Linked DNA regions of Mus musculus. The protein of the gene in region 2 interacts with the protein of the main gene of each other region in a pairwise test. Links are inferred from orthologs where the notes say so. Each region holds a gene or a part of one and is shown on either strand. Other genes may lie near its edges.

Region 1 (3,242 bases), on a different chromosome or scaffold from region 2:
ATAGGCCTCATTCAGAACATGGCTGTGTCCAAGTCGTTGTCTGTTGTCACTTACAGTCCTTAACCAAGACTGTCGAGAGGTTGGTAGGACCCCTGTAGAGGAGGGAGACCCACAGACAGAAAGACAGCCATCTGGATGCTCTGACTGCAGACTTGTATGTACACACACACACACACACACACACACACACACACACACACACACACCTAGATCCAAAGGTCATGTATACTATACACACATTTAACAAACATCCCACAAAGAAAAAGTTGTCCTCAACCCATGGTTACTACCACCCAGCTTTCCAGGACCCCAAAACCCACAGAGCTGTTGAAAGCTATACATTATAGTATGCACCTGTAATCCTAGCACGAGGAAGACAGAGGCAGGATGATCACCCACAGGTTCAAGACCAGCCTGATCAACATAGCAAGACCCTGTCCCAGTTAAACAAACAAACAAACCAACAACACCAGCAACAACAAAAAGAAGACAACGACGACTTTATGTCACATGGCCTTTATTCCATGACATGGTCTGGCTGGAACCAGATTCATTCTCAGGCTTTATCAGAAGGTACAGAATATTGGGGACACAGACTGGACCCCAAAGTGACAATAAGTTAGGGGAAGATTCTCAGGCTGTGGCAAGGCAGAGGTCAAATGGGATCCTCTTAGCGACACCCCAGCAAGTCCAGTTTCAGGACAGACAGCTGCAGCTGAAACACAGCAGGGCAGGGGAGACAGGGAGGACAGTCATGAAGCCACCCGGGTATCCAGAGCCACAAAGAATGTGCCTAACCACTGGGGATAGGCAGGAGGGGGGTCCTGGAGAGAAGGCCCAAGGTGGGGGCGGGGACAGAGACCACTCACTAGGCTTTCAGTTAAGCTCCTGCAGATTCTCATAGTCAGGAGCTTCCTCTCCATCCACCCCTTCCTCTTCTCCTTCGTCTTCCACCTCCTGGGAGTTCACAGAGGCTGAGAGGGAAAAACAGAGGGAGACTGCCGTTCAGCCTACAGACTCTCTACTCAAGGCTGCTCCCCAGCCTCTGCCCCCTTACACCTTGGTACTCACCCAGCTCAGCCCTGGTCACTGGCTGCTGCTCTGGGGACACATTCACATACTCCCGGCTCCCATCTGTGGGGACAGACCAGCAGGGACAGTGGTGTGAAGGGCAGGCCATGCAGAGGGTAGGGAGAGGCTATGGGCCATGCATGGAGTGCAGAGTCACCTACCCAGAGACGCCTCTGCGCTCTCCTCACTCTCAGGAACATTCACGTAATCTTCACACGACTCCACTGTAGAATAGCCATTGCAGTACAGTTATTAGCAGACACTCAGCCAGGCACTGTTCCCCAGAGACACCTCCCACCCCCGGCTCAGACATCTAAGTCTCCTAACACAACCCCCAGGCAGACTCACAATATAGAGAGAATATTCAGGAAAAGCGAGGGGAGAAGAAGCCTGGGCAGGGCAAGGGCCATGGAGGTGGATGGAGAGCCAGGACCAGAGCCTCTGGGGGAATGGAACAGAGACAATACAGGACTCAGGCAGTGAGGCTGGAGAGCAGGGCTCCAAGGAGCTCAGAGTGCAGAGACCTTGGTGATCTGTGAAGAAGTGGCACACTTGGTCTAGTTGGCATCCCCTCTTCTCAGACCTGTTGGTCTCTCAATGTTATCAGCTCTTGCCCTCACCTTCCTGGGCCCACAAAGGTCACTCACAATGCTACACAGCTTTTTGCTTTCTGGTTTCATGGTTGCCTGGTTTCTGTATGGGCATGTGGACAAGCTGAGCCAAATACACTGGCTCAAACCTCAGTCCCAGCACTAAGCAACTATCTAACCTCAGATAAGTCACCTAAATGCTCCCTGCCCCAGTTTCCTAGTCTGTAGAATGAGGTTCATAACAGGACCTGCCTGGAAGGACTAGAGTGAGGAATAAACAATAAATTGTAAAACAGAGCCTGCAATACACTATGTGCTACCGTTGTTCCAATTACTAGCAACCTTGAGCCAGGCTGTGGTCTCAGAAGACGGGAGGCAGGCGCTAACTTGAGCTCAAGACAGACTGGACATCACAACAGCAAGACTGTATCAATTTAAGTAAATAAATAAACTCTAGCATACCATACAGAGAGACAGTACAGAGAGAGATGTGAGGGACAGGAGGGGAAGAGGGTACGGTCAGCAGAGCACCCACGAACTGTGAGGTCTAATGAGCTGTACACACCACGAGGGCATAGAGTTGCTCCTCAGTTAACAGTAGTTCTCTTAGTACCTCTCTGTGTGTTATGCCACTGCACACACTCAGGAGCACATGGAGGCTTTAGCCATTCCACCATAGTTCTTTGAGACAGAGTCTCTCACTGAAATTAAAATGAGTCATTTTGCCCCTAGCAATGATCCTTTTACCATTACAAGTTTGCTGCATTGGCTCCCTAAATCCCTAGCAAAAGTCAGCAGACATAACCAGGAAATGAGGAGCGAGAGACCAGGACGGATGGAAGGAAGGGATCACTCAAACAGTCTGGGGTTCAGGAGAGAAATGACAAATTACACGGAATTAAGTCATGCATGGTTTATATAAATCATATATACGCAGTCTGAAGCTAGGTTTTTGTTTTGTCTTGGTTTTATTGACATGGGGACTCATTGTATAGTCAGTGGGTTACAAATGGAGCAAGAGAGCCAGGTGGTGGTGGCACGTGCCTTTAATCCCAGCACTCAGGAGGTAGAGGCAGGCAGATTTCTGAGTTCAAGGACAGCCTGGTCTACAGAGTGAGGTCTAGGACAGCCAAGGATACATAGAGAAAAGCTGTATTGAGGGAGAAAAACTGAAAAAAAAAAAGCTAAATAAACAAACCACCAACAACAAAAACCAAGTGGAACAAGAGGGATACGTCTTTAACCCCATATAATCCCAGAACTCAGAAGCCAGAGGCAACTGGAGTTAAAGGCCATACTAATCTACAAAGTGAGTTCCAGGGCAGCCAGGACTCTACAGTGAGATTCTCTCTCAAACAAAACAGAGCCAGAGTACAGACATAATAGTCTAGGGTAAATACAGAAGGTTGGGTGTTCCTTTTAAAACTCCAAAATTCATCATATTCCGAAATCCAAAACCTTTTCATACTGGTGCGATACCACAAATGGAAAATTTCATGAAACTTCTATTTCATACAAAAGATTAATTAAAATTTGCATAGAACTACCTTAAAGACCGAGCATGGTAACCTACACGTTTAA
Region 2 (4,261 bases):
TCTAGCACTTCTTTGGGTAAAAGAGGCCTCTGTAACTGCACAGGAATAAGAGAACTCACTACAAAACAAAGGTAGCTACTTCCTGCCAACTTCTTACATTTTACCAGCTCAGCTGTAGCTGCAGCCTCAACCCCTAACGCTATCACCAATTCCTAACATTAATGCTGACTTTATTTCCTATTTCCCTATACATTGACATTCACCCCTTTCCCAGAAGACACCCATACTAATCTGGCTTTTATTTTTAGGCCCAAATCCCCCAAATTTAACCCTAAATACTCCCTCCCACCCCACCCTGCAGTTCTAAAGCTCATTTGTAACTTGGTTCTTAATTAACCTTTTCACTGTTTATTCTTAATACTGACCATGACACCGGCCTTTAATCCCTAAAACGGGCATCTAAGCCAATTCCTGTTGATCCTTAACCCGATCCTGTACTCTGACTTAATGCTGGTCATTGCAGAAAATAATGACCTCAGTTTAAATGTCACATATGCGAAACAGACTTGACTCGTGCAGCAAATGTTTAGAATGTAGTTCACCTTCTTAACTTCTAAAGGGATCCTTGCTTCCTAAACGCGACGGCACCTAACCCAAACTCACCCCAAGTTTTCCTAACCACTTACTCACTATCGGCTAATACCAAAGCCCATCCCCGCCCAGTGCCTCACTGCCACCCAGTGCCTCACTGCCACCCCATTTCTACCCGTCCCCAAACCTAGCCGAGACAGAGAACTGTCTACCCCCGCGAAAGGGCCTGCTTCTCGCAACAAGGCCAGCTTAATTCCAAATCCAAACCGAAACATACTGGACCCTGACCTCCCTAACCAGACACAGGATATGCAGGAGGATTGGGGGCCCCGCCCGCCGCTTCCCGGGCTGGCCCGATCCCGCAGCCCCACCTAGAAGCTCGGCCCAGCCCGTCCGGCCTACCTGCGCTGCCCGGCTCTGCGCCCCGCCCTGGGCCCGCTACCCGCTCCTTCTCCCGGTCGCTTTTGGGGCTCCGGCCTCGCCCTCCCTTCGACACACTCTCGGCCACTTCCGTCCTGGAAACGTCCCCCACCCGCCGGCGGCGCCCTGGGCCCGCGCTCTATGGTAGCGGAGACTGCAGGAAGCTGCTCTGGCCGTAGTTCTCGATGCTCGGGCGCCCGCGAAGCCTGGCCGCCCCTCCCCAGCAGGAAGCGAGCGTGCAGAGCTCTGGAGAGAACGCCCGAACTAAGCTGGAGTTCCCTTTTAAACGCTTAAGTTTTTTTTTTTAATAGCTCGAGGCGAAGGCGGACAAGGATCCTCAGAATCCCCGCCCTGGGGCGTGGGAAGCTTGAAAGGACGTCCCCATAATTTGCATAGCCCCCGGGACGTGGCGCAGCCCAGGAGCCACTTCCGAGTTGGAGAGAACTCCAAGTCCCAGGATTCCACGGGGCTATGTGCACCACTTCCGTTGTGTTGGAAGCTGAGGAATACAGAAGCTGAGAGACGGGTGCGGTTTAGAGTGACAGCTAGGCCCTTGTCCCGGAGTGACGGAGGTTAAGTCGAGCCGACTGGACAGACTGAGGGGTCGTGCCTGAGGTTCGGAGGTTGGATCTGCGCGGAGGGATTTCTATCCATAGATATCCCAAATGGATCCTGGTGGTCAGGATCTGCTAGCTTTGGATCCCGGTGATCAGGACCTGCTGGGCTTCCTGCTAGAGGAAAGCGGAGATTTGTGGGCTGCGACTGAGCCGGACGTGAAGGCTCCGCTGGACTTAGAGCTGTCACCTTCCGAGGTGGGTGGGTGGGTGTTCCCAGTGGGGGAAGCTAGGGATGTCCGCGAGACCCAAGGTACGGAAATAAATCAAGGCCTTTGAATTTGATAGAACTCCGTGCAAGAACTGAGCGACTGGGAGGTAGAGGATTTACTGAGCTCTCTGCTCAGTCCCTCAGTATCGCGGGATGTTCTCGGCTCTTCCAGCTCTTCCATTCTCCATGATCACAACTACTCCCTTCCACAGGAGCACGTCTCCATAGATCTAGGTGAGTGTGAAATGATAAGTTGTGGGGGAGGAGAGAGCTCACTGGGCTAGCTGGTTCTACTTTCCCTTTTGCAGATACTGAGAGCTTCGAAAAGGAGGGGTTCCACGTGACTCCACTGCCAGGGGAGGAAAGAGCAGCGGAACAGGTGCTGGACTTGATTTTTTTTTTCAGGATTACCTCACTTTGCAGCAGCCAAGATCCCCCATACTGCTCTGAGAGCTCCATGCAACTCTGCTCTCTTCACTATTTCCTCCATCCTTAGGAGATGTCTAGGCTGATACTGACCGAGGAAGAGAAGAAGCTCTTGGAGAAGGAGGGGCTCACTCTGCCCTCAACCCTTCCTCTCACTAAGGTAAGGCTCCTGTTGGTAGAGCAAAGGCTGGAGGGGGTTGGTAACCCAAGTAGGCAAGCTCAGTTTGTTTCATATCAATCACTTGCAAAAGGACAAACCAACTCCTACAAGTTCTCTCATCTCCAAACACACACCCACGTCAAAAGATAATGTTTTAAATGTAACTTTAGTACAGAGCCTTGAAAGTGAAGGGCCTTGATAGCTTCCGTTGTTATCTTGGGACCTCGAATCATACTCAGTGGTAGAAATGCTTGAGAGGCTGACTCAGTCTAACAACATCAACAATCGTCAAAGCTGGACATGATGGTGCACCCCTCTATAACCCTAGCACTCTGGAGGCAGGAGCAGGAAGGTCTTCACAAGTTCAAAGTCACTTCCCACGTGCTGGGATTACAAGAATACTGCATCTAGTTTTTGTGGCAAATTTTTTTAATGTCATTTGCCTTTTTAATATTGTCTTACTTCTGATATGTAGATATTTACTTATTTGGGGCAGGTGGATCAGCATTAACGGACAGACTTAGCTTCATGTTGAGTTCAGGCAAGCTTGGGCTATGTGAGAAACCATCCCCTATCCCTCTATCACTATTACAAGATGAATGAGCAATATATTGGGAGGAAAGGAAACGGAACTTGGAAATTATCAATAGTGGTTCTGTCCCTAGGATAGTAACTGTCTTGTCTTCCTTTACACTGGCCAGAGCATGCCATAATTCCCCTACCCACTGGGATTGGAGTACAGTACCTCATGAATGTTCATCAATGCTCACTGCTGAGCCACGCCCTCTGGCCCTTGTTGTTAAGGCAGGGTCTTGTAAACCCAGGCTGGGCTGGCCTCAAACTATGTAGTAGGGAAAGAATGCCTTTGAATTCCTGATTCTCCTGCTTCTAACTCCCTCGGACTAGATTACAAGTGTATGATGTCACTCTTGGCTAGTGTCCAAGTTTGACAGGCATTATCAGAGAATGTAAGAGTTAACTTTATTCAGTTTTAGTTTCTGAAAGAAAAAAAGTTGAAAGTACCTTAAGATAAGGATATATTCTATATCACTTTAGAGACTCTAGGAAAATCAAATGAATGGAAATTATAAGAAGATTGATGTTGCTTTAGGATAAGGGTAGATGTTGTTGTTGTTAGTTTTGAGACATGGTCTTATGTAGCTCAGTCTGTCCTCAAAAACTACCCTAGCCAAGGATGGTCTTGAAATCCTGACTTCCTTCTTCTGCCTCCCAAGTGCTGATACTACAGGCATGTACAACCACACCTAGCTTAAGTGGAATTTTTAAAATTAATTAGAGACTGGAAAGATGATTCCGTGGTTTAGAGTACTTTCTGCTTTTCCATGGGGCATGAGTTCAAGTCCCAGCTCCCACATGGCAGCTTACAATCCGAGGAGATCTGACACCCTCTTCTAGCCTATGTGGGCACTAGGCACACCCATTATACATATACGTTATACAGACATGCAGGCAAAACACCCAAACACATAAAAAATAATAAAAAGTCTGGCTTTCTAGTGTTGAATATCTGCTCCTTGGTGTTCACACAGAAGGTAAATGCCTACTGACAGAGAGGCTGTGGAGAGTATTTGATTGGGAAGAAGGTTAGCTGTCTTCCAACATACCTATGTAGTATATATAGGTATAACATACAGGCATATAATAACATACTGTGGGTGACCTTTCCCCCATCTTCTCTTAGGTGGAGGAACAAGTTCTGAAACGAGTGCGGAGGAAGATTCGTAACAAGAGAGCAGCTCAAGAAAGCCGCAAGAAGAAGAAGGTGTATGTCGTGGGGCTGGAGAGCAGGTAAGCAAGGATGGACACGGGGGAAGCCTGGAGGGTCTTGAAGGGAGGAGACACAATATTTTGAAATCCACGTGTCCTCACATCCATGTT
Region 3 (4,250 bases), on a different chromosome or scaffold from region 2:
GGATGAGGTGGGAGACAAGCATTGCCTTAGGCTAGACCTTGCACCCAACTAGAACACACAAAAAAGCCCCTACCCTCCCCACCCCCAGCAAACACCGATAAGGCAATCAGCCAAAACTCCTGGTAAGAGCTGCTCTAAAACCAATACCCTTAGGGATCCATCCAGAAGGGGTTGCCTTCTTCAGCTTGTATGGAATAGTAAACAAAGAGCAGAAAGGCAGCAAAGACCAGGAAGAGTAACAGCTGGCCCCAGAGTGGGACCTGTCGATCCTGGCCCAGAGCAGCAGCAGGGGCCTGCTTCTCTGGCCGAATGGCACGTCGGGTAAGCCATGAAGAGGGAGAAGATGAAGAGGAGGACACAGAAGAGGTGGAGGATGTAGGATAATATGATAAGCCCAGAGAGCTCCTGGAGACATTGGAAATGGGGCGGTAGTGTGCGATGCTCTGGTAGGCACTGTCTTGGCCATAGATGAGGCGCTCCCTGTGGCAAAAGAAGGCAACAGGTAGGCAGGAGAGTCTGAGACTCGAATTTGTCCCTGTCCCTACATATGTTCACTACTCACCTATCCTTGCCTTCCTCTTCTAAAGAAGAGAAAATGTCATCACGCACCTGCAGAATAATTAGGATTAGAAATGGGGAAGAATGGTTTTCCTTAAATGTCTCTGGCTAGCCTGCTCTAATCATATCATAGGGACCAGAAAATTGCCCCCCCCTCCCCCATTCTGAGTATGTGGAGCCTCTTTATCTGTGGGGCCTTGCTGCTCAGTTACTAACCCTGTTGACTTTGTTCCAGCATCCTTTTATTCCCCTGGATTCTCAGGAGGCTTAAATCTATATCGTAGATTAATTACTAGAGTGCAGGAGCTGTTACATATTCTCTGATCAAAAAAGTTTGTGGGCTGAAGAGGTGGTTCACTGGTTAAGAGCACATATTATTCTTCCTAGGTACCTGAGGTCAATTTCCAGCACACACATCAGGCAGTTTACAACTACCTGTAGCTCTAGCTCTAGTGGGAATATGACAATTCTCACCTCTGTAGGTGCCAGCACTCATGCATACTACCCACAGACATGTATGTGAGAATTCTGGAATTTTGGCTTTTTTAAGAAACACAGAAATATTGTAAGAATATGTTTTTGTTTTAATCTTAGGTGTGGAATATGGGGCTGCTTCACAGCAGCTAACTATGAGTTGCCTCATGCTTTTAGCAAAGGTGTGTTTCTGTGAGTTTCAGATAGTTTCTACAATTGTGTGATATTTGGAATTCTGGGAATTTTTCATTACTGGGGGTGAAGTGGGGGGGGGGAAATACCCACAAACTAACAAAAATTGGCCACACATATGTATAATTAAAGTAATTAAATCTTTTAAAAAAGCCAAAACCCCAAAACATTTGTTATGTGCTGCTGGAGATGAAACCATAGGTAAATACTCTTCTGCTGAGCATCCCCAAATCCAATAGTTTTGAAGGTTCCAACATAGAATTTTTAACCCGACAGCTGTATGCTGACCCTAACCAGATTTGAAAGCCTAAGATCCACTCTCTGCACCTATCCAAACCTAGAATTCCCTAAGGCTGCACCCCAGGTATACCTACCAGCCAACTCACCTGGTGATGGAAGGTATCAGCATCTACAAGTGAGGTCCCCGGCTGGCGGAAGCTCTTGGACATGCCCACAGACTCAGGCTCCCCGTATGTCTTGGTGGTCAAATAACTCTCCTCATAGTAGTCATCATTATAGTCTTGGGGAGGAAAACAGTGGTAGAGGAAAAAGTGGTGCCCCTTAACTGGCCTCCTCTTCTCCCTCCCCAGCCTGTGTGTGCTGTGTCAGTTTCTCCCCTCTGAAGCCACTGAGAACTGGTACAAGGAGGTGAGGGAGGTCTGGGGTTTCCCTGTGCCCAAATCCCGGAAGCATGGGATAAAAACATCAGTGCCCACCCTATACCTGCCTTACCCTTGCTCTGGTAAAGTAAGGCGTCTTCTTTTTTGGGCAGATCATACATGTCTGAGTCCACGGCGGCTGAATCCAAGTCTGCATGTGAAGGAGGAGGGACAGGACCATTCGATCTCCAGCCTTCCCCCTACTCCCTCAATAGCTTCGGCCACACCCTCCCTCCCTAAGACGTGTGCCCCAAGCTGCTCTTTGGGGCTCTGCAGTTAAGGGCTCACCTGAGAACTGATAGGAGAATGAAGAAGATGACGAGTTGGGGGGTAAGAGTCTCCTTCTCTGGGTCTCGTACTCGAAGATTTTCTTTTCGTAGAGCTTGCGAGTGGAACCTGCCCAGACACAGGGTGCGAAGCGGTCAGAGGGCGTGAGCCGAGCACCCCAAGAGCACAAGGGAACACGGGGAGGGGACTTGAGGGGAGGGAGAGGTGGGGAGAACGCTCAGGGAGGAGCGCGGGAAAGCAGTGGACCAAGAGAGGTTCTGAGCGCCACCGGGTGCAGCATACCCACAATAGGCCCATGAGGGATGTTGTACTGGCGTAGCACTGCGGCCAGCTCAGTATCGGACAAAACCGCATAGTCGTCCATGGCAGACAAGGCCGGCACCTGGAAGCGGTGTTGAACGCCAGGGGCGGCCGGGGCCTACAGACAGGGCCCAAGAAACCAACCGCTCGGAGCCTAGAAGAAGAAGCGCCAGAGCCTCAAGAGCGGCTGTGGGCGCGTCACGCCGCCGTCACATTTGCGTCACAGCCGCGGCTACGCAGGTTGCGCGCGCTCCTCAGGGCAGGCCCAAACTAGCCAGAACGGCCGGTGCAGACCGGTCTAGCTGAGGGAACAGGCTGGGCTGGCAAACAGAAACGTAACGCTTGTGAGAGATTGGCTCGAACAGGGAGAAGGCGGAGCTTTCAGAACTCGTGCGGCAGCGGTTGAGACTTCCTTTGAGAGCTAGGCCGCCGAGGGGCGGAGCTGGCTGACCTCACTAGAGGATGCTTTAGAGCGCAACTTACTAGGGATGAGGCAAGTGATTTGACCAAAACCGGCTTGTGAGATTTCCCAACCTGTGAGATCTCACATACTTTTGTTACTGGCTTCATTCCTGATTTTATTCCCCCGGTGTTCCAGTGCCTAGGATTCTCAGCCACAGTGTGATCCACAGCAGTGTAAAGCAATCCTGAGAGCGAACCCTTCCAGAGCGCCTAACGCTGCTGAGAGCTCTTTGTATGCTGTCAGACAGGGCTCTCATCACCTAACATAGACACCCACAGAGCCCTGGCACTCCCTACCCATCTCCTTTGGTCTTCCCAGTCTCCATGACCCTGGCCTGCACACCTGCACAGGCCCATTCCCACCGTCGTCTTCTCTAATGCCTAGTTCCATTCGCGAGGAAATGGGGCCAGCACTGGGCCAAGTGGCCACCAGCACTACAGGATCAAGCAGCTTTCCAAAGGTCCAGGGTATGCCAATGCACACAATCAGAGGGCGCCTGCCTGCCTGCCTGCCTGCCTGCCCTGTGATGCATGTAGATCTGTACACCTTGTACCTGCCATACTCACTGTTCTACCTTGGGCCCTGAGGAATTCTGGGGGGAGAGGTCTTCTCTGGCTGAGTAGAATAGTCTCTAAGCTTGGTGTGACCTTAGAGACCTAGACAAGTGTACAAAGCCTAGAGCACTATTTCTCAACCTCCTTAATGCTGCAATCCTTTAATACAGTTCCTCATGTTGTGGTGACTCCCCACCCATAAAATTATTGTGTTGTACTTCATAAATGTAATTTCAATATTGCTATAAATTAAAATATAAATATTTGTTATGCAGGATATCTGATATGTGAGATCCAAAGGGATAGCGACCCCAGAGGTTCTGAACTGCTGGCCTAGAGGCAAACCATGGGAATTGATGGAGGCTTACTAAGGATCTGGATCAGAGAAAGGTTGCCTTGAAGAGTGACCATGACCATTATATTCTACACAAAGTCATGTGGATCTAGGTAGGCTGCCCTTTATTGGAGAGATCTAGAAGAAGGGGTACGCGTAGAAAAAGTGTGTAGGATGCCTGATCTCTTAAATCAGTGCTTCTCAACCTTCCTAATGCTGTTGTGGTGATTCCCAATCACAAAATATTTTTGTTGCTACTTTATAATGGTAATTTTTGCTACTTTATGAGTCATAATGTAAATATTTTTGGAGACAAGGTTTGCCAGAGGGGTTGTAACCCACAGGTTGTCTTAAGTGATAGTGATAGTGAGTACTTTGCTCAGTTCTAGGTTGACCTGATGACACTTTAGTGAAGTTCACAGGCCACT
Region 4 (4,049 bases), on a different chromosome or scaffold from region 2:
GGTCTCCTGAGGCCTGCCATGAGCCTGCACTCTCCCCTCCTGGGTGCCCCCACCCCATCACCCAATCAAGACTGTGGCAGGGAGGGCCTTCCCTTCGCAGACTGCTTCCTAGAGTAATCGGGACTCCCTCCAGCCTCTGCTGGAGCCAGCCTCTGCTGGAGCCAGCCTCTGCTGGAGCCAGCCTCTACGCCTTTCCAGCTGCTGCCTAGGGGCTTCCTGAGTTCTCCAGGAATATATTTCATAACTGTGGGAGGGACACAGACTTCTCCACAGCAAGTTCCTTTCCTTGACCTCCAGTTCCAGAATGTTCCTTTCTTCCCCCCCCCACCCCCAGTTCCTTTCTCAGTCCAAGGCCACTAACTATCCTCTTCCCGTGTCTGACAGTGGCTTTGAAGGGAAATTTGGAAAGCTAGCATCGTGCTCCCAGAGCTCCTAACCAAACCCTTGACATGCTGCCCTGTGCCTCACTCTCAAAGAGGAGATAACAGCACCAGTGGGCTAGTCCTGTAAGGAAGAAGCATATTCAAGGGACACCCCACCCATCAGACTGCTATTTCTTTGTCTAGGGCAAGCTGCTCTAGATCCCCATCTCATCACTCACCAAATTTATAGACTCGATGTTGGCAGGACGGTGAGAGCCAAAGGTACCTGGGCGTTCCCCAGGAAGGGGTCCTGGCTCAGGCTCAGGCAGGAGGTTGGGTCCTAGGTGAGGGTCCAGAGTGGAAAAGTTGGCCAAGGCTTATCGGGAGAGAATCCCTCAGGCCTCAAGGGGCCCCCATTCAGCGGGGGTCTCACAAGCTAAGAAGCTGCAGAAGCTAAAAGTACCAGCGAAGCTGGGAGAGATAAAGGGCCACCCTGTAGCTGGGAGATAAGACAGCAGCCCAAGCAACCGGCTCAGCAGGGGATCTAAGCCTGTGGCAGCCAGGTCAGCTCTCAGGTGCAGCTAGAACTTCAGTCCCCGCCCACCCAGACAGGCGTCACAGCTGGTCACCCTGAGGCCCTATAGCCGCTTTTCTATTCTGCTGTGGGTGAAACCCAGACGGGCCAAATCCCTCAGTACTGGACAGCAAAGCCACACACCTCCAGAAGGAGGCAGAAGGCTCCTGCTGTTGGTTAAGGACTATTTGCTGAGGGTCTCTGTGGGTCCGCCAGGCATCCTCCTAGGCACTGGGGACAGAGCAGCAGCAAACAGTAGCACTGCTATTTATCTAGGACAAGAGGGTTCTGCTGCGGCTGCGGGGAGCCTGAGGACTCAGGTTTCTATTAGATAGTAGGGAAGGGACCCCATCAAAACATAGCTAATTCTCCACCGAGCACCCCACACCTCTCCCATGCACCAGCAAAAGTGAATACAGCCACAAGCCAGAGGGAGGCTAACTCTTCCATCATAAAACTGGCTTAGGCTTGGACAAGTATACACATACATATACACACACACACACACACACACACACACACACACACACACACACATCACTTCTCCCCTTGCAGAAATTCCCACCTCTCGGGTTCCACCCACATCCAAACATTCCATTTGCTGCTTAGGGGCTTTCTTTACTTTTGTCCCAGTAGAGATCTGATAGCAGTTCAGGGCCTCTGGTATCATTTCAGCCATGCCTTGACCTGCCGAGATGGAGAGGCCCTGAAAGCTATCGCCCATCTGAGGCCTTCCTGCGTCCTAAGGGTCCTCTCACATAGCTCAGTTTCTCAGCCTAGTTTCTGCTACATCGGAATCTTCTCTTGAAATCTGAGGATGCCCCTCTTCCAGCTGCCCCGTTTCTACTAAACAGTTAGGGCGATTGAGGTTTAAAGAGGCTCCATCACTTGAGAAAGCCCGCAGAGCTGGTGAATGGGGGTGACAGCATCAATACTCAATGTACCGATCATTCTAGATTCCTTCTCAAGTGGGGAAGGCAAAATTAACAAGGCTCCTCAGCTATTCGTGTAGGCTTCCAGGAAGGCAACAGTGCTCCAATTAAAGGGTTAAAACAAGTGGGAGATTCAGGCCATTCTTTCACATAACATTAGTTTCAGAGTCATGACAACTCACAACCATTCCACCACGCATATATTATTGTATGCAAAGGTCACACAAGCAGGACAAGAGGAACAGGACGGAAGGAGGGTTAATGGAGAAGAGGGGGTTGGCTCAGGCTTGGCAAGAGGACCCGAATGGGGTATAAGGTGCAGGGGTGGAGAGAGCCTTCATCCAAAGGAAGCCTGGGTGTGCGCGTCAGTCCTTTATCTTGTCACACGTTCACTCTCCGCGTAGAGTAAATGAGGACTCGCCCAGGAAAGGGAGGCCAGGAACAGGAGTTTAGTCTGTAAATGGCCAGCTAGCTCCCTTCACGTCCATTTGTATTCCCGCATTCCCCATCCTCCTGCCTCGGGGCAGAAGGCAACACAACCCCTCCCTCTAGTTCACACAGGACTGTAGCATTGAACTACCCACACGCCGATCCTCTGCGGAAGTCAACACAGCGACAGTCGCTTCCAGGCCCAGAAGCCAGGCTGTCTTGGGCCCAGCTCCGCCCTGGTCCCCACAAAAGGAGAGTCCCCCTACCCAGAGCCAGGCCCATGCGCGCCACGTGCTGGCGCTGCTCTGCACGCGCCGCGTGGGGGCCGCACCCCAAAGTCCCTGTCGCGGCCTCGGAGCTGGCAGACCGGGCCTCCTTTTCCCTCCTGGCAAGCCGGACACTCCACTCTCTACCCCGGAGTCCCCAACATGTCCCACCCAAGCCCTACGAGCACCTGCTGGAGAAGGACACCTCCGGCGACGAAATCTGCGCGCTTGGCCAGCGCTTCCCGCGCCCGCCCGAGCGCTTTCAAACCCGCCCTCTGCTGGGTCCGCCCCGGGCCCGTGGGAGCCACCTCCTCCCGGCGACAGCCCCGCCCCCAGGCTCCTCGCCGCCCCCTCAACAGTTCACCGGCTCCCAGTCAGAGACCCTACGCCTAGGGCCGCCAGGGCTGCTGGCTTCGATGGCGGAGCACGTCTTTGGACCCTTCCCAACTGTCACCCGGACACGCGAGCCTGGGAGGGGGGCACGGGCCCCCCACTGCGTACCCCTAATTTCCGCGCTGGCCCTGCGCTCCTAACTCCTACACATTCCACGGCGGGACTCTTGCACAGACAGGCCCTCTGCTCACCCAGGTCCAGACGCCCCCACAAGCCACGCTCCACCTCAGGTGTTCCGTTATCCCTCTCCGAACCCCGCCCACGCCATTATTCACACTCCACCGTTTTACTGCTAGCAACCCCCTCACACACACACACACACACACACCCTTCTAATACATCCTTTTTCCTTTCCACTCCTCCTTTTCCCTTCAAGAAGACTTTCTGGGATACCTCAGATTTGAGCGTTCTGGAACCCAGACGCTGGAGGTGTTTTGTTTTCTCTCTCCTGCCCTCAGACTCGCCGCACACCACACAAACAGCATCTCTCCCCCCCCCATCCCCATGTTGCCTTGAAGGCTCCTTTATGAAGGCATAAGAGGACAGCCCTGAGGCCTCTAAGAAAACTGAAACACAGCTGGAGACCGGAGAAAGGGGAGCCAGGAAGAAAGGCCTCACATCCTGCACATCTTTGTCCTAGCCAGCATTTCACTGTCCCATGTCCCATCCCAAGATAACCCTCGGGGCTAGAAGCCTTGCTGAGCCTCTTACCATTCATACCCCTCCCCTTCCTTCCTTCCCCCCCCCCCCCCCGCTGGGGTACAAAGGAGGAGGGACCCCCTACAGTAGCACTCCCTACTGATGTATCCCAGAAGTTGGGGAGGGTCCTGAGGCAAGAACATCCCATCCAGATTGCCTGTCTCACCCCACCTCCCTAAGGAACCTGTGCTCCAGAGAAACCATTGGAGCTAATTAACAATTACCAGTGCTAACATCGTAGGGAAAAGACGCACTCAGTCTCCCCAGAGGACGACTGAGCCCTTAGGAGGTAGCTGACTCTGTAGGACAGTGGGTTCTCTCAAGCTGCTCTGGTGGGGGCGTATACAGCCTTCCTGCTCCCACAGAGATGACACATCTCCCCACTAGCACTAAG
Region 5 (4,147 bases), on a different chromosome or scaffold from region 2:
GTAGTAGGGCCTGGGGGGCTGGAGAGATGGCTCAGAGGTTTAAGAGCACTGACTGCTCTTCCAGAGGTCCTAAGTTCAATTCCCAGCAACCACATGGTGGCTCACAACCACTATGATGGGTTCTGATGCCCTCTTCTGGCGTGCCTGAAGACAGTGTACTCACATATATAAAATAAATAAATCTTTAAAAAATAAAAATTAAAAAATTAAAAAGTCAGGCCTGTTCCGACTTCAGTGGGAATCTTAGCCTATCAGTCTGCAGCCACCAGGTAAACTACTCAAAAATGTCTTCTAACTTGGTAAAGGCCACTCCGACTTATTTGGGGTTGTTCTTTATGCTTGCTTGGTGAGGGTGTTTGGTTTGGTTTTCCTTTGAGGCAGAGTCCTGCTCTATAGCTCAAGCTGACCTCAAACTATCTTGCTCTCTCTCTCTCAGCCTCCTGGGGACTTCCAAGCATGTTTCACTACGTCTGGCCACATCTTGAATTTGGGTCAGGACAGGGATGCCTCTTATGATACACCAGGGAAGATTCAAATGACAATCCCATCTAAAACATTAGCCACGTGACCCTGAACATGTTGCTTTCCTAATTCATTTTTCTCTCCTACACATGAGCAGGTTGTGCCCCAATACCTGAATAGCAGGACACCAAGAGGGGACAGTGTGTGTGCTCTTCTCCAGTGTGGAAGCCCAGCGAGGCCCCTCCCCTCTGACTGCACCTTCAGGTTACAGTCTGCCCCAGCCACCCAGGCTTCACCAAGAAGTCCCTCACCAGGAACTCTGGGAGCCTCTGAGGACATTGCTGAGAGCTGCCCATTCTGGCAGGACACAAGCTAAGGGAGGGCAGAGTGTTGGCCCTCTGAGGCTGCAATTAGCACCAACTTATTAAACTTGCAGCAGGCCTGGGTCACCGGATCCCTCCACTGGGCCTGGAATTCCACCATTTTCCACTTTCCTGTGTTACATTATCCAAATGGGAACTGATGCAGGAGAATGGACCAAATGAGTGGCACAGCTTCTATGTCACAAAGTCTCCTCTAATAAAGAACTCAACGCAGCACTCATTCACGCAGCAAAGCTTCCAGGGCCACAGAAGTGAAAGACTGTCGGCCCCCTGCCTGTGTGGAGCTAGGCCTGGTCTCACCTGAAAGGCCTGCACTCCTGTCCTCAGCATTCCATCTACAGAGCTACTCCACCATGCTGTCCTACAGAGCCACCTTTGGGAGGACCAGGTCGCAACTCAGACGAACAGGAGTCCTTTGACAACCAAGGACTCAAATACATCCACTCACTTGGGGTGCTAATAATGCTCATGTCTTCCATATAAAGGAGATGTCCCTATAATCCTTTCTTCCTCTGTCTACAGAGGTCTTTGGGACCAGAATAAATCCCTCCAATAAATAATAAGCCCCTTAGAATATCCTCCATTCCAAGAGAGGATAGCCCTATGTCAAAGTGACCGGCTAAGCCATAGCTCCTGCCAAACCCCTATTGAGTTTTTAAAGCAAATACACGATATCCTTCCCTCCTATGATATGCCAGTATTCAAAACCTTGATGTCCACCCCCCTGATCCCAATGATCAGGTTCAGGGAACAATTTAAGCTACGGCCACAGGTCTCCAGTAAGGTTTCACTGATAGCTTGGCTCGGCAGGAGGATTAGGGAGGCCTTCGGGAGTAGCACAGGTACCCACAGGAAGTATGGGACTGGGTGGGATTTCCAAAGTCAATCTAATCTAGAAATCACCTGGTCACTGACTGAATCACCATGACGGAGGGAGGATAGCCGCCTACAGGTCATGGTCAGGCCCTTCCTTGTCCCTCACCCCTTAATACCACCTTGAACTAGCTAACTGCACTGAAGAGGATTTGATCAACCTCAGCAGACTTCTTCCAGAGCTGCCTTACCAGGGCAGCACATACCTAACTCTACCCTATCCATCTGACTAGCAAGATCGTCTGGACAGATGGGGCTCCAAGGTATTCCTCCAGACAGGAAAACGGATGAGTCTTCCCCTACCCACACAGTTCCTGCTCTGGTACCAGGTAGGCAATGGATCCTCGGGCCTTCCCAGCACTCACCTGGACTTCTAGGAATTCACAATGAAAGGGACACCCAGGATTTAGCAAACACACTGTTTGGAAGGCCAGCAACATAGCTGCACTGAAGAGGCGGACCTGCCTTCCTCTTTACAAGAGCAGAGAAAGCTTGCTGGTGTGGAGGATACTAGGCCGACGAGAAGCATTAGGAGAGTGTGGACAGTAGGAACCCGAGGAGAACTCCGATCACTGCCCAGCCACCCTGAGGGGCCACTCTTCTCCTGGCACCATCTGACCCCCAAGCAAACTTCCCAGCCTGTGGAGAGCTGCCCCCCATTTATGAACAAGTTTTGTCCAAAGGCTGGGAACTTGGCAGTCCCACCCCAGCCCAGGTAAGCATCACCAGGCCGAGGCAGGGCCGGGAAGGGGCAGACGCGCGTCCTCTGTGAGTCTCATTTCCTCTGATCAGGGCCGCAACAACTGGGCAGTAAGCCATCGAGTTCCGGCGGTGGACTGCAGGCCTGAGGCCGGGAGCCATGGCAACCCCGGGGACGCCCGCTCCCTGGACCCGATACTCACACACCGCTCCTAGCACTCCCGCCAGGCGGCACAGCCAGCGGTACCACCAAGTCATGCCCTCTTCCTGTGCCGGCGGGGCTGGGCCCGCGGCCGCTCCGGCGGCGCCCGAGCCGCTCATGCTAAACGCTGCGCGCAGCCCCAGGCGCGCACAAAGAGACGTGTCCACCCGCGCGCGGCCTTGTGGGAGAGGTGGTGATTAGCATAGGGGCGGGCCCGCAGGCCATAGCCGGGGGGCGGGGGGAGGGCGGGAGGAAATGGAGTATAGCATAAGGGGCGTGTTTACAGACTGTCAGACGCCCTTTGCCACCCAGCAGGTGCGCTGGATCCGGTCTGGCCTTTCCTCTTTGCAAGATTGGAAGACGTCATCCAGAAGTGGCAAAGGCCTTGTTCAGACCTCCAAGGAACTCCGCCTTGCAGTAGAATGAGCTTTCGAGCTAGGCTTGTAATGGGCGGCAGGTTATGGGAGGAAAACTCCAGTCTGGTATCCTGTATCCTTTATTAACCACTGGGGGCTGGGACTGTTTTTCTGATCTCCACCTCCCAGTCCCAGCCCTTCTGCACCTGGAAAAGGTCACTAAAAGAGGTTCCCTAAGGCTAGCAGGCATTAGAACTTCTAAAGAGGCTAAAGTTGCATACTCCCCGGCTGTTGGAGAGAAACCTAGGACAGAGCCAGGCTGTCGTCCTGTTCCGATGTCCTAGGTGAGATGGTCCAATACTCGCCCTGGAGACTGGCATGTGCCTCCAGGAAGCCAGGGCTAAACTCCAGTTCAGCCTCGCTGCCTTCGGACTCCCAGTAGAGCACCTGCTGCCCCCAAAATGTTGTGGTCCTCAGACTGTGGATGTCCCTGATCTGTGGAGAAGCAAGTAGCCAGAACAGGCCATGAGTGATCATTATTTATAAACTCCTGGCTACTCAGAGTCATTTTTGTTTCTTAAAGGAGCCCACATGAGGGACACTCGGTTCTACCCAAGAAACTCCCCAGAACACACAACCAGGTACAAGAGCTAGGATCCTGCTCAAGACTAAGTCTGAGGTGCTCTGGTGCCTTGTAGAGCATACTGAATCGCAACCCTACCTATGCTCTTCTGAAAACAAACAAAACACCAGACACAAACACGATGCTTCCACGCTGGGTCAACAGGCAATGGACTCCCAGGGAAGGCCTTCTCTCTTCCTTCTTGTGGGTAGAGCCACAAGCATTCCCTGGTGAGTGAGTGAGTGGCAGAAACCCTCCTTCCCATTCTTTCCAATAATTTTGAAGTTTTGGATGAAAAATAAGCTAAAAGTGTTCCCTAATGCCAACACTCCCTCCCTCCTTCCTAGAGACAGCTCTCCAGAATCGTATCAAAAGATTACCCCCTTTTTGTCCCCATCCTCGTGGCCTCACCGAGACATAGTTGGCATTGGTCCCCTCAGAAGCAGTGCCCATATCACTGGCCAGGGCGCGGATGGCAATGCGGGCCTGTGGAGCCACACTGATGAAGACCCTGCAGGTCCCTGCCTTCCTCCCGTCTGGGCTCAGTGAG
Region 6 (3,500 bases), about 98 Mb from region 2:
CAGGCAAATTTCTGAGTTTGAGACCAGCCTGGTCCACAGAGTGAGTTCCAGGACAGCCAGGGCTACACAGAGAAACCCTGTCTCGAAAAACCAAAAAAAAAAAGCCAATGTCCCAGACTCAGGGATGGCAAGGCCTTCTTCCTGGTCTAGGGTCGACCAGTAGGAGCAGAAAGTACTGGGTGCAGTTTCAGCCCCATGACTGCAGCCTAAGGCTACTCACCCACAGAGACCCCCTAATGTGGTGAGTTTCCTGACTGTTGCTGGTCCCTCTCCATTGGAGTGTGCATGACCCACTCAATCCCAGATTTCCTTGTGGTTGTCATGTGTTCATTCCCTGTGGCCCCATTGAGTCCAAAGCCAGGCAGGTGGAGGACAGGCGTGTTCTCAGAGAGGGTTAACGGAGTAGAATAGATCCACTCTGACTTAAATGTGGACAACATCATTTATGGGCTTGGTCTGAATGAAGCGGGAAAAGAAGACAGGGACCTGAACACCAGCATCCATCCCTCTCTGCTTCCTGAGTTCCCACATGATGTAACCAGCTGCTACCCCAGGCTCCTGTGGCCACGCCTCCCCATCCATAATGACCCCAGCCTCAAACTGAGAGACGGAATAAACCCTTCCATCCTTAAGCCGACTCTGCGTATTTGGTCAGAGCAATGAGAAGAACATCTAGGGTCAGATGCTGTGCTGACTGCCTATGCTTGTCCGCTTGACACACGCTAGAGCAGTGGGTCTCAACCTTCCTCATGCTGCGACCCCTTAATACAGCTCCCCATGTTTAATATGGTTCCCCAGCTATAAAATTATTCCCATAACTGTAATTTTGCTGCTGTTATGAATTGTAATATAAGTACTTTTGAAGATAGAGATTTGCAGAAGGGATGGAGATCCACTGATTTAGCGTCACTCGAGAGACAGGCCTCTGAGAACGCCTGCGTCTGGGTGTGCAGGGCGTGGTCTTGACTATGTCAGTGGAGGTGGGAACTGAATATGGGTGGCAGCACTTCATGACTGGATGAAAAGGAGGCACAGAGCCGAGTGCAGGGCTGTCTGTATACATTAACTCATCACTCTCTGTTCTTGACAGTGGGGGCTCTGCCTTCTTGACTCCCCCCAAAATGACAGACCCTGACCTGCAATTGTGAGCTAAATAAATCCTTTCTCCCCTAAGTTGCGTTTGTCAGAGTGCTTTCATCACAGCAATGAAATGAACCGTAAGGGAGACGCCAACTCTTATGATATATGCCTCTATCTACTATCTATCATTTAAATACATTCCTGATATTTTGGGCTAAGCGAAATTTTGTGCCTTGACCTTTTAAAATCAAAGTAGATACTTTGTATCTACAAAGTAGATAGCACCTGGGACAGAGAGACAAACAAGAAACCTAGAGCCCCATGACCCTCGGCCCCACCAGTTTCTGTGCTACATCTGATAATCCATCTTAGCCACGGGATTTGGGAAGCCTGCATCTAGTAAGCACAAGGGTATTTGTAAAAATGATATGAGGAGAGTGGAAATACAGACTCGTGGAGCAAAGTACTCTCTCCATGACTCTGTGTACAAGTATGGAGGGAGCGGCCACTTGGGTCTTACCTGTCTTCTTCTTGGGAGTGGGGCACGGTTCCTGCCTGCTGCTGAATTCGAGCCAGCTCCTCACTCTGCCGCATCCTCCTTTTGTCCCGGATGCTCAGGCAGATGGCTAGCAGCAGCAGCATCATGCCAGCCCCGACCAGCACGTACGCCACTGAAAACGTCTTGCTCTTGAGGATGCCACCACCTCCCTCTGTCTTGTTGCCCTGAGACGTTGGCTTATCCGCAGGGCTGAAACCAGGAACCAGGTTCCACATGGCCATGATGACCCCGAGGACCAGCATCCCCAGGCCGATGGCCGTCAGTGCGTAGTGTGAGCCGTTGGCTTTGGATTGGGCCATCATGACAGCGGAGCGGGGCAAGACCCGGCTCAAAGAGAGAAAATAAATCAGAAAGCAGTAGTGCCAATAGACACTGTGTCCATGCAGCAAAGAGACTCTCCTGTGTCACAGCGGAAAGTCATCCGTAGACTCTCAAGCGATGGCTCTCTTCAAATGCCAGGTATCCCGGGTGGATGGAGCAGACGAGAGATCTGAAGAGGAGAGGGAATGAGAGATTATCAGCTCTGTCTTGGGGAGATTCTCTGTGAAGGAGGTACCTACCAGGCAGGGCTGGGCCACCAGCCTCCACCCTGGCCTCACCTCTAATACATTCCAGATGTTCCAACCACCACCCCTGTGCCAGAAGGGAAAACCAGAGCTGTCCCTGCAGGAGGCCAGCAGTGAGGCCAGTGCTCAGAGCAGCTGCAACATGCTGTGAGGTTTAATGAAGTGTGGTCTGCTCTCAGCCCTCATGGGAGAGATGTGGAAGAGCAGAGCGAGAGATGGCATGCTTGGGCCAGGGTCAGTCACACCCCAGTCACCTGGGGTGGGGGAGGAGGTTCGGGGTGCAAGAGTTAACGATGAGTCCTATCCAGTTAGCCTGCTGGGCTCAGTATACTACCCTCGCTGGCTCCTGATTTATTGTCTTGGAGGGGGAAAAACTTCCCTTTTCTTAGAATGATGAGCGTGCCCTCCTTGGTCACGTGGTCTCACTACCTTGGTCTGCATATCCCCTCCAAGTACCCCTGCAGTTATCAGACCACCCTCTTTCTGGGTATTCGGGTATGCTCCACTAGCTACTTGGGCGGGCCTGTCTTCCAGTGGCCCCTTGCTTGTCTCAGCCCTCCACAGGGCAAACGTCTCAATTGAGTGTGTGTGTGTGCTCACGTCCAGTGACATGGACGGAGACCGTGAGGCAGCTCAGAAAGAAAAGCGTTGCCCTAGCCCTGTCTCCCCGACTTCGTAAAGGAGGCAGAAGTCTTCACACTCCTCATCTTCTGTGTCCAGGAGAACCCCAAACCAACCCAAACAACCAAATCACTTTTCCGGTGAAGCTGCTCAAAGACTCATGGGAGCTGGGATTCCAGAGCCCTCGGTGACTGAAGGAGCCTAGAGGCAAGGCATCGAGGCTGTAGTTTAGGATATATTTGGAGATCATGGAGGAGGAGATGGCAAGGCCCCAGTCTGCCCAGCTTTCAGTCAGAGGGTGGGCAGGCAACATTGCCGAGCAGGATCGCCCGGTTGACCTTAGATGGACAGGCCTTGTTTTCAATCCTGCATTCTTTCCAACCTTTCTGAAAGCCCAGCTGATCAGGGAGCCTGAAACATGATGCTGCGGAGATGTTTTCTCGTTAAACTTTCATCTGAAACGCTCCGCTTTGTTAAAAATCACTCTAAAAATATCTGGGACAACATCCTCTCTCAGCTTGAAGGCCTCGCCTTCCCTTTCTTCCACCCAGTAAGTGTTTCTGGTGCATCTGGCTACCTGCAGGTTGCACGGGAGACACTGCAGATGCCTGGGTGAAGGAAGGAAGGGGACGCGCAGGAAGCAGAGACAAAGAATGACAAGAAATGAGGGAATG
Region 7 (4,162 bases), on a different chromosome or scaffold from region 2:
CACTTATGTTTATAGACAGTTATTGACAAATGGCTCTGAAGTCTGTTTTTACATGTGAGCTAATTAACTCTATGCTTATAAAATGTTTGTACTCTATAACCATCTGCATTGCCTAGCTTGAGCTGCAATACTCAAAGCATTTGTGTCCTAGTGTCTTTGCTCAAAATAATTACATCACTCCTCATGTGCACCTGCACTGCCTGCACACAACTATCAAAATGAACTAAGGTAGAAGAAGGCCACCTCGGCCACCTTTCAAGTGCTAAGAAACTGTATGTGGCCAGTGGCCAGCAGCTGGGACAGCTCACATATTCCCTTCATCCCCCACAGAAAGTACTACTGGGCAGGGTTCAACTCAACAGCTCAGTAATTATCTTTTTATGAAGATAAACACTAAGGTGAAAGAGGAGACGGGAGAGTCAAACAGTAACACCTATAGTGAGCGCTGTCTCAAGACTGTGTGGAAAGGGCAATTTAAAAATGAACAAAGGGGATTTTGATACAGAGTCTTGAATGTAAAACACTACCCTGTAGTTACTAATGGACATACTGTAGAATCTTGAAGACTTCCTCTGAGCAGACACTGGCTTAAAATTTAGCCTGCTCAAATCAAATGGTCAGTTTCACTTTCTTAATCATGAAGCCCAGCATAAAATATGAGTTTCCTCCTTTGTTCCCCAGGTTTTAATTTTTGTGTGTGTGTGTGTGTGTGTGTGTGTGTGTGTGTGTGTGTGTGGTGTGTATGATGTGTGTGTATGGTGTGTGAGTGTGTGTGGTATGTGTGTGCAGTGTATTGCGTGTGTGGTGTATATGTGTGTGTGGGGTGTGGTGTGTACGTGTGGAGTGTGTGTATGGTGTGTGTGTGTGCTGTGTGTATGTGTGTGTTTGTGTGTGTGTGTATGTGTGGTGTGTGGGGGAGTGTAAATCTTGGACTTAGTCTATTCTCTAAGTACTTGGCTACAAAGTAGATCCTGAATAAATGTTGTAAGTCTGAATGAACAAGTGTACCGATTTCCTATGAACACATGCCCAGCCTAAGAGTAAATATAAACATTTCTAAAATACTGTTTCAGGCTTATTGCTACCTGGGCTTTTCTCAGTGTCCCTTTCTATCTGTAGATGGCCCTTTCCATGATACACACCCAGCCCCTTTGAGGACTAGCTCTTTGTCTCAGTAAGGTGTTATCACACACTAAAGATGCCAGGTCTGAAATGAGAAGTCTCTATCAATGTAACTTCTACTTCAAGCGATGCATCATACTTAGAAGATGGGAGCATTCACACTCTTTGTTTTCAATTCCTAAAACAAACAGGAGAGGAATCATAGGAGACAATCAATCATGAGGGTGCTCAATCTTCCATATGAGTATTCGGTCCACAAGTGCATCTTTGCCCAGCTCCTTCATCAATCCAAACGCTACACTGTTTGGTTTCAGCTTAATTAACCAAGATTTTTTTTCCTCCACAGTTTCACACATTAATATTTCAAGTTACACTGAACCAGAGAAAAATCCACACAGACTTAACTGTGGGAGTTTTATCTAGCAGTACTAGTAGACATAGAGGTAATATTTCCCTGCAGTACTGGGGACTGAACCAGGGCCTTGTGCACACACCATTTAGTGGCATATAGCTCAACATAATTATTCATAATTTTCCACCAGCAGCGTATGGATGAACTTGGGATAATAATCAGAATTAGAAACGACTGTTAATCAGGAGCAGCATAAGAAGTGAGCTAGCTGAAGGAAAAGAACCCAGAGGTCAGTGAGTTAATACTGTGTTCTATTAACTTCCCCAGACACTGGGAAACTACAGCCTCGTTCTTAACTAGTCACAAGCCTGGGGGCCAACTTCGAAAGCAGCTTGCAAAGCCGAAGACCCATCGGCACCACAAGGCACAATTTAACAGTGTTATCAATCTCTGTTCACTGCGGCTCAGAGTACACCTAAAAGAAATGCCTACCTCCAACAGGACCAAACCAGTGTTTCACAGTTAATTCCTTTTATTTTCCTGATTGTGGAAAACTTGTAAATAATAATTCCTGACAAAATACGAGATCTGACGCAATCAAAAATTGATATATGCATATAAAATGCAAGCAAAATTTTAACAGCTATAAGGAAAAATTAGCATTTGACTGTAAAGCTTCCTTCCTCTTCCCACCCTCGTCCAAGCTTTTTTTTTTTTTTTGGTCTGAATTTAACCTAGAAAACACATATGCGAATTCTCGAAATACCTTGTTACCTTGTTATGTGTCTTGCATAAATCAATTGAAACGAGCACAAGGTAGGTCAAAGAAAGTTAGCTTGTGTGAGTAAGGCCAACAGCCAAGCAAAGGCCCTGGGCCGCGGAACGAACCTGTGGCCAGATGACCAGGGCCCATCGCGTTTCCCTTTCTGTTCTTCGGAGGAGAAGTTGACAGAGAATGGGAACACGGTCGTAGCCTGCCAGGATCTGGCGGTAGTATCCGGTCCCCAAGGCTCCATTGCCGCGCGCCCCGGTGCTCGCACGTCGCGTCCCGGAGTCCGGAGCGGGGCGTGGGAGCCCGAGAGGGAGGCGCCGGCCCTGCGCCCTGGGGAGCCCCGCTCTGCGCACCCCAAAGCAACCACTAGCGAGCTGCAGTTCTGAGGTGTCCCTCCCGCCCCCCTCTCCCCCGCCTCTGCAGTCTCCTCTTACCCTGACCTCGCCGGCTTCCTCGGCCACCTCCAGCCGCTGTCACCCGGGGGCCCACTGCCTGGCGCAGCCGGTCTCAGCTGATGGGCGGCGGCACAAGCACGCCCACTGCGCATGCTCGGGGCACAGCCCCAGGAAGGAGGAGGCGGGGCTTGCGTCTCTCCCATTGGCCAGTGACAGCTGAAGCTTGGAGGGACTGGCAAAATTGCTGGGGAGCCAAGCTCTGATGGGTGACAAAGTGATGTCTATGGGCAACAGAAGAGGAAGCAATACAATAGAGAAGAGCTGGGTTCTTTATTCGGAGGCGCCAGACTCCCTGGACTGAGGGAGCACTCTCAGCTTTTAAAGGTTCTGTTTCCTAACCCTCAGCTCTGTGGTAGACTTGACAACTCCATTTTTAAAATGTCACTGCAAAAATGTCAAGGCAATCCTAGCTAAAGCCCCGGAAGGATAAATGAAAGATAATCTCCTAATGCCCACTTGATAAAGATGTTTTCCTGGCTCATAGTTGGTATCGCATCCTTGAAATACAGGATGTGGTTTTCCCAGGCTTTAAGAGCACACACTGTTCCAACAATAACTCTTCAAGCATGTGACCTCTCGGATGAGAAACATCAGTTGTTCATGTGAAAGAAATACTTTGCCAAATTAATTAGAATAGATTGCCTTGGATTTGCCTATAATTAAGATGGTGTTATTTCTGGAAAGAGCATGAAAACACATGATACCAAAAGTTCGATAGACTTCAAGTGGAGGTAGGGGGAATCCATACTATTGTGAATCAGAACCACAGAGCAAACTGTATGTTGGTTGGTTTTACACCTGCAAGCATACGTAGATGACTTAGGTCAGACTCAAACACAGCGTCTTCTCAGTAGGATCCACCCAGTGGATCAAAGAACATGTACTCATTTAAAGTCATGTGATTCAGCTCGGGCCATGGTGAACTGTTGAGGTTTGCTGTTTTGTCCAGCACTGGAAATTGAACCAAGGTCCTTGGACATGAGAGGCCTTCACTCTGTCCTCTATCTCCAGTGGTTTTTGTTGTTGTTGTTGTTGTTTTTGAAACAAAGTCTACACAGGTTACCCAGATATTAACCTTGAACTCACTCTGTAATCCAGGTAGACCTTGAACTTGCAACCTGCCTCATCGTTCAGAGTACAGACCTGTATCATTGTCCCGGGTTGTTTGTGGTTTTGTTTTGAGGAATGAGGGATCAAACCCAAGGCCTCACATTTCAGGTAGTTGATCTACCCCTGAGTTCTACCTATCATCTCCACTGTGAACTTTTAGAAGTATTAGTCCATCATAGTGACATTGTATGTTTTCCAAGATACAGAGGAAATTCAAGTTTTTCTTTGAAATCTCTCCCTTTTTCAAAATTGTTTTATTTTTAAAAATCATTCTTTGACAAGGCAATAACCTCTAATAGAAAGTCATGTTAGCTGTTAAAGCTACAGAGTCCCTTTTAGAAAATCTGGTTC

Evidence for each region.
Region 1: the proteins of Creb3 (region 2) and Lat interact in a two-hybrid assay, tested with the Homo sapiens proteins (2 studies listed by BioGRID and IntAct). The two-hybrid records come from large-scale screens. The link is inferred for Mus musculus from reciprocal best matches to the Homo sapiens genes CREB3 and LAT.
Region 3: the proteins of Creb3 (region 2) and Emd interact in binary tests that used the Homo sapiens proteins (3 or more experiments, as listed by UniProt). The two-hybrid records come from large-scale screens. The link is inferred for Mus musculus from reciprocal best matches to the Homo sapiens genes CREB3 and EMD.
Region 4: the proteins of Creb3 (region 2) and Slc29a1 interact in a two-hybrid assay, tested with the Homo sapiens proteins (2 studies listed by BioGRID and IntAct). The two-hybrid records come from large-scale screens. The link is inferred for Mus musculus from reciprocal best matches to the Homo sapiens genes CREB3 and SLC29A1.
Region 5: the proteins of Creb3 (region 2) and Cacfd1 interact in a two-hybrid assay, tested with the Homo sapiens proteins (2 studies listed by BioGRID and IntAct). The two-hybrid records come from large-scale screens. The link is inferred for Mus musculus from reciprocal best matches to the Homo sapiens genes CREB3 and CACFD1.
Region 6: the proteins of Creb3 (region 2) and Tmem51 interact in a two-hybrid assay, tested with the Homo sapiens proteins (2 studies listed by BioGRID and IntAct). The two-hybrid records come from large-scale screens. The link is inferred for Mus musculus from reciprocal best matches to the Homo sapiens genes CREB3 and TMEM51.
Region 7: the proteins of Creb3 (region 2) and Stx7 interact in a two-hybrid assay, tested with the Homo sapiens proteins (2 studies listed by BioGRID and IntAct). The two-hybrid records come from large-scale screens. The link is inferred for Mus musculus from reciprocal best matches to the Homo sapiens genes CREB3 and STX7.

The regions. Positions count from the first base shown.
Region 1 is NC_000073.6:126,363,327-126,366,568, forward strand, and holds the end of Lat (linker for activation of T-cells family member 1 precursor), read right to left. Parts: intron 1,513-3,242; coding exon of another isoform or gene 1,436-1,512; exon of another isoform or gene 1,349-1,435; intron 1,296-1,348; coding exon 1,233-1,295; intron 1,135-1,232; coding exon 1,072-1,134; intron 975-1,071; coding exon 877-974; 3' UTR 870-876; intron 716-869; 3' UTR 501-715; downstream 1-500. UniProt on the Homo sapiens protein: Required for TCR (T-cell antigen receptor)- and pre-TCR-mediated signaling, both in mature T-cells and during their development.
Region 2 is NC_000070.6:43,561,197-43,565,457, forward strand, and holds the start of Creb3 (cyclic AMP-responsive element-binding protein 3), read left to right. Parts: upstream 1-1,461; 5' UTR 1,462-1,616; coding exon 1,617-1,763; intron 1,764-1,853; coding exon 1,854-2,010; intron 2,011-2,084; coding exon 2,085-2,155; intron 2,156-2,272; coding exon 2,273-2,362; intron 2,363-4,064; coding exon 4,065-4,171; intron 4,172-4,261. UniProt on the Homo sapiens protein: Endoplasmic reticulum (ER)-bound sequence-specific transcription factor that directly binds DNA and activates transcription. Plays a role in the unfolded protein response (UPR), promoting cell survival versus ER stress-induced apoptotic cell death.
Region 3 is NC_000086.7:74,253,237-74,257,486, reverse strand, and holds the start of Emd (emerin), read right to left. Parts: upstream 2,801-4,250; 5' UTR 2,536-2,800; coding exon 2,454-2,535; intron 2,280-2,453; coding exon 2,172-2,279; intron 2,035-2,171; coding exon 1,957-2,034; intron 1,745-1,956; coding exon 1,611-1,744; intron 610-1,610; coding exon 563-609; intron 481-562; coding exon 150-480; 3' UTR 1-149. UniProt on the Homo sapiens protein: Stabilizes and promotes the formation of a nuclear actin cortical network. Stimulates actin polymerization in vitro by binding and stabilizing the pointed end of growing filaments. Inhibits beta-catenin activity by preventing its accumulation in the nucleus.
Region 4 is NC_000083.6:45,592,731-45,596,779, forward strand, and holds the start of Slc29a1 (equilibrative nucleoside transporter 1), read right to left. Parts: upstream 2,801-4,049; 5' UTR 2,752-2,800; intron 2,517-2,751; exon of another isoform or gene 2,453-2,516; intron 2,354-2,452; exon of another isoform or gene 1,081-2,353; intron 920-1,080; exon of another isoform or gene 826-919; intron 703-825; 5' UTR 602-702; intron 208-601; exon of another isoform or gene 1-207. UniProt on the Homo sapiens protein: Uniporter involved in the facilitative transport of nucleosides and nucleobases, and contributes to maintaining their cellular homeostasis. Functions as a Na(+)-independent transporter.
Region 5 is NC_000068.7:27,008,579-27,012,725, reverse strand, and holds the start of Cacfd1 (calcium channel flower homolog), read right to left. Parts: upstream 2,801-4,147; 5' UTR 2,739-2,800; coding exon 2,621-2,738; intron 1-2,620. Other genes in the region: Adamts13 (A disintegrin and metalloproteinase with thrombospondin motifs 13 isoform 1 preproprotein), read right to left, coding at 3,279-3,470, 4,009-4,147. UniProt on the Homo sapiens protein: Transmembrane protein which mediates synaptic endocytosis and fitness-based cell culling.
Region 6 is NC_000070.6:142,035,805-142,039,304, forward strand, and holds part of Tmem51 (transmembrane protein 51), read right to left. Parts: intron 2,130-3,500; 5' UTR 1,942-2,129; coding exon 1,601-1,941; intron 1-1,600.
Region 7 is NC_000076.6:24,147,927-24,152,088, reverse strand, and holds the start of Stx7 (syntaxin-7), read right to left. Parts: upstream 2,801-4,162; 5' UTR 2,681-2,800; exon of another isoform or gene 2,363-2,680; intron 1-2,362. UniProt on the Homo sapiens protein: May be involved in protein trafficking from the plasma membrane to the early endosome (EE) as well as in homotypic fusion of endocytic organelles. Mediates the endocytic trafficking from early endosomes to late endosomes and lysosomes.